2 linked regions of the Sus scrofa genome follow. The protein of the gene in region 2 purifies or fractionates together with the protein of the main gene of each other region. This does not show direct contact. Links are inferred from orthologs where the notes say so. Each region holds a gene or a part of one and is shown on either strand. Other genes may lie near its edges. The genes, in order: PAX9 and KDM5B.

Region 1 (2,888 bases), on a different chromosome or scaffold from region 2:
CATTCATTAGAGCAGAATTTTCCATTTTCTTTAAATTACAACGTAATTTTGGGCTGAGATTGCTGAACACACAGGTAAGCCAACAATAACAGTACAATTTAGTTTCACAGTGGTTTTCTTAACATAAAGTTCATTTTAAGTGTCTTTGCAAAGCCTTTCACATTAAACTTAAGTTTCTAAGTGACTTCCTTTAGAGCCTTCTTGTTCAGTAATTTTCCACCCTCTTGTCTTTCTATGCTTGGCATGTGTGTTGTTTGATTGGGATACAAAATGGGAGACTGGCTTGTTTTATCTGCTTTGAGTCCTCTGCTGTAGAAAGAAAATGTCCTTCATGCGATGTTGAAGCCTTCACTGCATACACAAAATCTGGGGCAAGTCCAGGTCCAGGGGCCTGAGCAGCCCACCACCAAACAGAGACAAAGACGTTGCCAGAAAGTCACCTTTGCAAAAAGAAAGGAAAAAAATAGACAGGGGCGGGGGGGGGGGGGGGATATCCCATGGAATGAAAACGCAAATGCACCATCCAGAGTCCATATTTACAAACTAATAGAAAATATAAACATTATTGTATTTGGAACCAATCAAAACACCAGGAGGAGCTAAATTCAGATATTGCTTCAGTTATACATGTATTTTCCAACAAAATAGGTCACCTGTTAAAAATAAACAAAGGATCACTCAAAAAATGAGTTATTGATTGGTTTCCTAGTAATGGATTACAGCTTATTTTGTTAAGCTTTTTGATTAGAGGGTGTAGCATAACTTTTTTTCTATACATATTTTATTGATTTTGCAGAATCTCAACAATTGCACGTTTCAGAAGTTCAGGTTGATTTAGAATAAATATACACGTGTGGTTTTACCAAAGACTCGTTTTAAAAGTTCCTTAAGCCCTTTGAGGGGTGCAGGTTTCTTCACTACGTTAGAACAGTGTGTGGGCAATACAAATGTCTCATTCAATCCTTAACATTGCTTTTGTTTTCAAATCCTAAAGTCGTGTCAGGTTTTCTGTGAGAGAGAAGTTATGGCAAGAAATATTTAAGTGTCATCAGCACAAAGGATGTGAGTCCGTAAAGCCAGCTCTTGAGGCAGGAGGGTTGGAGGGCAGAGGGGTGGGATCCGAGACCAGGGAAGAGGGGGAGGGTGAGCGGAGAAGGGGGGACTCGGGTGCAGCTGCAGCAGACGGAATTTCCCATCAGAGTGCGGAAGCCGTGACAGAGTGGCTACCTTCTCGGGCTGCCTGCATTCCCTTGAACGCCAGCGACGCGGGAATGTCACAGTTGTGGGGGGAGAGTGGGGTGCCACTGGCATGTTGCCACCCATGTCCAGCAACATAACCAGAAGGAGCAGCACTGTAGGTCATGTAAGGCGACACTTGGGCCGGGGTGGGATAAGGAGCCATGCTGGATGCTGACACAAAACTGCTTACAGCTGGGAGACCATTTGGTGCCTAAGAGGAGTAGGAAAAGAGAAGAGGTGAGAATAATCACGTTATAGTGGTTGACATTTCACGAGTTCTTAGAAAGAGGCAGAATGTGAGTTCTGAGGAGGAACTAACAATATTCTGACTCTGCTTTCCAATTTTTAAAAAATAATTTGTCTATATTCTAAACGCATTCACAGTCTTGCTACTTAAAACATATTCGTTCCACAGAGGTTTTTTTAGGAGGCTACAAACAAAATTCAGTGTTTGCATTGCTGTTTGGCCTATGGAAGGAAATGTAAAGTGAGGAAAGAATTAATGGTGACTAAATACTCTTAGAATCCATTTAGCTATCTTTCTGCCTTTGTTAACCTTGCCACACTTCAGTTTTGTTTGGCTCTTTTGTTGAGAAGGGCCTGGTTGGTGTAGCTTTCATTTCCAGTAAAGAAGGGCACAGAGTGTGGGCTGTCACTTTAGAAACTCAAAATGAGCATGACCTTTGTCAAATAAAACATGATGTCTATTTTTAGACATCTTAGACATCATGTTGAAAATGCCTGTTGGACAAAGGACATGCAAAATCAGGGAGTTTGTCTGGTAAGTTTTTTTTTTTTTAATGAAAATGGGGGTGTTTTCTCCAGAGCTATTTTGTCAAAGAGGAAACTGTCTATCAGAATACTAAGGAATTGCATATGCATGGTTTTGAGGTTAGAAAACTTGCTTGCAAAGTTTTAGGGCCCTGTGATGTAAATTTTTAGGAGCCACATGGATAAATCTCTTTAAATGAATTTAAATGTAATATCTTAGTTTGCAAATAAGATGCAGCAACTCTGGCAGGCAAATCTGCCTAGAAGCCAGTGCTCTCTCGCATTCCAATAAATTATAGTTGGTATTGTTACTATTAACAACACCAAAACACCCTGATTTCTAATCCTGATTCTGTTGTGAATACTCAGCGCCTTTCTTCAAATAACTTAATTTTCTCTTCCTCAATTTCTTGTTTAGAAATAAAAGACATTCCTGTTTCCTAGTAGTGATATGAATAAATAAACATATCACATATACTTCCTAATGGAAGTATAATGTAAACAATAGAAATACTATTAGTAAAACAGATTTAATGCTTAGAGGTAAGAAAAGCAGACATATGTTAGATACTTTTTCCAATTCAGTTGCAACGAAGAAATTGTTTTCTAGTTTAATTCATTTGGTTATTATTTTCCTTTGCATGTCTATGAGAATGCAGGGGGTGGGGGGGTCTCAAAAATTATTTTCTCAATTGGTAATGTATGGAGTTAGAATATATATATGTATGTGATTTAACACTGCTTGTGGATTTCCAACAAAACAAAAATAAAAGTAGTGTTAACTTTGTGTAGTTGGTCTACAAGAACACACACCTCATTTTCTTTGAGTGCTTGTTCTTTAAAAAATAGGGAAGGGGAAAGGAAACAGGTTTCTTAAA
Region 2 (3,829 bases):
CAGACGGGTACGCATCTCAGCAAGTTGTGGAAGCTCAACATCAAACTCAAAGCTGACATCTAGCAAATCTTGCAGCTCAGCAGCACTGGGCATCTCCTCAGAGAGTAATTTCTGGCTATGCTGTTGGAAATCTTCTACACGATTCAAGAGATCCTAAAAGAACAGATTGTTGCATCAAAACAGTAATTTCTGTAACTGGCTTCTTATATGCTTAGAATTGTCAATGCATATTCTACATGACCCTCTTCCATCTCACTTGATTTTAGCAACAATACGGGTAAACAGCATAATACATAAGCCAATTGACAGCTAAAACAAGTGACTATAACAGACATACCAACTGTGAGGAGTAGCTGGTGGTCAATTTCCAGGTAAAAATTTCTGACTTTCTCCTCTGCACGCATGTTATAATCTCTTTATACACGCATACCACTCAATATGTTATTAGAAACATTTGCCAATAATGTACAAATTAACCACCCAAAATGATAAGTGAGCTTATTTACAAAACATAAAGCAGCAGCACCTCCCATCCAGTTACCTTCAGCAGTGGAGTCTGGCTAAGAACACAGGGAAGAGCATACAGCTGTGTCACAAACTGCCGGAGCTCATTCACCGTCAGCTGGTTGTGGGATTTCCCTCCCCCAGATCGGTATCTAGAGACAAAGGCCCAAGAAGCCAAGTGAGAACACACCCACCCTTCCCAGTCTGGGCTGTGGGAGAGCCCTAACCAGTCCGTGCAGTACCCACCTCGTCTGCCTTTTGCCGTTAAGCAGCTGCTGTGCGACAGAGGCACACTTCTCAGCATCCTGTGTGACTAAGCGGAGGTGACGTAAAAGATCGTTGTCTGGGAATTTCTTCATCTCAGATTCTTCAATCAAAGCCTTAAAGCTGACAAGGCCTAGGGATAAAGAAAAGGTCCCCGTTTTTGTGATCATTATGTATGAAATACAGGGGGGAGGGGTTTGCAAATATCAGTTCTTATCTATAGATATTTGCAATATTCCACCTCTTTAATAAATGTGTTCATTTGATGGGGGAGGTGTACTGAGGATGGAGTGCTTTAAAAAGTGCCTAGACTAAATACGGCTGATGGATTATACCGATGTCAATCTCCTGGTTACGATACTGAAACTTAGGGTATAACCTTTGACAAGGTTATACCTTGTCAAAACAGATCAAATCCAGATCTTAGTGTGGCTGGAACCACTTCTTCCTCCTGCATTTTACTCTGCCACTGGCAGGGAACTAGTAGGCTCAGAGCCACTGATACTGCACCCTCTCCTAAATGAGAAAGCCACAGAAAGGAAAGCAAATGAAAATACTTTGTGGAAAGAAATGGGAAGGCAAGCAGTGACTTTGAAAGGTAGTAACAAGAAACAGACTTTGACCTTGATTAGAATGAAGTACAGTAATAAACCAGCATTTCATAAACTCTTAATGGCATGCTGCCTTTGTGATGAGATCTATTTTAAGAAACAAAAAGGAGTTCCCGTTGTGGCTCAGCAGAAGCAAATCTGACTAATAGTCATGAGGACACAGGTTTGATCCCCGGCCTCCATCAGTGGGTTAAGGATCCGGTGTTTCCCTGAGCTGTGGTGTAGGTGGCAGACGAGGCTCAGATCTGGTTTTGCTGTGGCTGGAGGGTAGGCTGCAATCTGACTGCTACCCTGGGAACCTCCACATGCTGTGGGTGTGGCCCTTAAAAAACAAACAAACAGAACAAAAACCTTTACTAAGGTTCCATATAAAATGTAAAATACTTTTTTGTTCCTGAGACAAAGAGGTATAAAGGTTATTATGTTTTATAACAATACCTCATCCTGTACAAGGGCATCCACCTCATCCACTCTTGACTTTAAAACCTCTGCTAACACTCTGAATCTGGCTGAACAATTTCAAGGAACTGGTTTGCTAACTTTTGGTTGGCTATATGATCATCAGTCCCAATGTGCCAATCACCAAACCACACTTTCTATATATTACATACTTTTCTTTTTATTGATCTTTGCCTCCAAAGCTTCATTCACATTCAAGGCCCATTCATTGTAAGATTCAGCTCGAAGCTTCAATGCATTCATCATGGGATAGAGGTCATCTAGAGTGTATCTATACCTGGAAACAGAAGAGTAGACTTAGCTTTGAGATATGTGGGTTTGGAGGAAATCAGACATTTCATTCTCAATGTCACTGAGCCTTTATTAAGAATTTAGTGTTTTCAGGAGTTCCCGTCATGGCACAGTGGTTAATGAATCCAACTAGGAACCATGAGGTTTTGGGTTCAATCCCTGGCCTTGCTCAGTAGGTTAAGGATCCGGCATGGCCGTGAGATGTGGTGTAGGTCGCAGACGCAGCTCGGATCCCATGTTGCTGTGGCTCTGGTGTAGGCCGGCAGCAACAGCTCCAATTAGACCCCTAGTCTGGGAACCTCCATGTGCCCCGGTGTGGCCCTAGAAAAGGCAAAAAGACAAAAAATAATAATAATAAAATACCCCCCCAAAAAATTTTGTTTTCATAGAAAAAAAATCATTTTTCTTACTCACCGCAGTTTATATTTATAAGGAGGACAGGAACATAATTCTTTTACATGATGCAGGCAAACAAGCAGGCCAGGTTTACAAGAACAGGAGATGGCAGACATGAAGCAAGTAGTTTTGCATTTTACACACTGACGCTCGTCATCTGGCAACAGCTCAAAGTCCATTCTTTCTGAATCAATTACTCCCTAGAATAAAGTGTACTTTAGAGCTCTACAAAGCATAATACAACCCACCAGCTCCCAAAACAAACATGCATAGCTGAGTTTTGTTTTGGCCACCCTATGGCATATGGAGTTCTTGGGCCAGGGATCAGATCCGAGCCAGTCACCACCTAAAGCCACAGATGTGGCAATGCTGAATCCTTAACCCACTGTGCTGGGCCTGAGGTCAAACCTTCATCTTGGAGTTCCCATCGTGGCTCAGTGGTTAATGAATCCGACTAGGTACCATGAGGTTGCAGGTTCGATCCCTGGCGTTGCTCAGTGGGTTAAGGATCCGGCATTGCCATGAGCTGTAGTGTAGATGGCAGATGCGGCTCGGATCCTGCATTGCTGTGGCTCTGGTGTAGGCCAGCAGCTATGGCTCCGATTTGACCCCTAGCCTGGGAACCTTCATATGCCGCGAGAGCGGCCCAAGAAATGGCAAAAAGACAAAAAAAAAACCAAAACGAACAAAAAAACAAACAAAAAAACCCCTCATCTCAGCGCTCCCAAGATCCCACTGATTATTCCATTGTGCCACAGCAGGAACTCCTTGTTTTAAATTTTTTAAGAGCCTCACCAAAATAGAGACTGTGTGACTTAAAATGTGTTGATCGGAGCTCCTGTTGCGGCTCAATGGTAACACACCCAACTAGAATCCATGAGGATAAGGGTTCGATCCGTGGTCCTCCTGCTCAGTGGGTTAAGGATCTAGCATTGCTGTAGCTGTGGTGTAGGCCAATGGCTGCAGTTACAATTTGACCCCTAGCCTGAGAACTTCCATGTGCCCCAAGTGTACCCCTAAAAAGACAAAATAAAATTTAAAAAAAGAAAAGAAAAGAAAATATGTGGACCTGTCAAATGCGGGCAAGTTAACCTACTTCATTCGTGACTAGGGCAACCCCTCTGGACAAGGTAGGCCTTTATGTTTGGCATTTTGATCTGAGTATACAAAGTTCTTTTTTGTTTTTTTGTCTCTTGTCTTTTGCACCCGTGGCATATGGAGGTTCCCAGGCTAAGGGTCTAACTGGTGCTGCAGCTGCCGGCCTGAGCCATAGCCACAGCAATGCCAGATATGAGCCACATCGG

Evidence for each region.
Region 1: the proteins of KDM5B (region 2) and PAX9 purify together in Homo sapiens (affinity purification with western blotting, with the first as the bait; 3 studies listed by BioGRID). This does not show direct contact. The link is inferred for Sus scrofa from reciprocal best matches to the Homo sapiens genes KDM5B and PAX9.

Annotation. Positions count from the first base shown.
Region 1 is NC_010449.5:63,326,451-63,329,338, forward strand, and holds part of PAX9 (paired box protein Pax-9), read right to left. Parts: intron 1,451-2,888; coding exon 1,196-1,450; 3' UTR 1-1,195. UniProt on the Homo sapiens protein: Transcription factor required for normal development of thymus, parathyroid glands, ultimobranchial bodies, teeth, skeletal elements of skull and larynx as well as distal limbs.
Region 2 is NC_010452.4:24,758,519-24,762,347, forward strand, and holds part of KDM5B (lysine-specific demethylase 5B), read right to left. Parts: intron 2,726-3,829; coding exon 2,544-2,725; intron 2,116-2,543; coding exon 1,991-2,115; intron 902-1,990; coding exon 751-901; intron 657-750; coding exon 542-656; intron 154-541; coding exon 1-153. UniProt on the Homo sapiens protein: Histone demethylase that demethylates 'Lys-4' of histone H3, thereby playing a central role in histone code. Does not demethylate histone H3 'Lys-9' or H3 'Lys-27'. Demethylates trimethylated, dimethylated and monomethylated H3 'Lys-4'.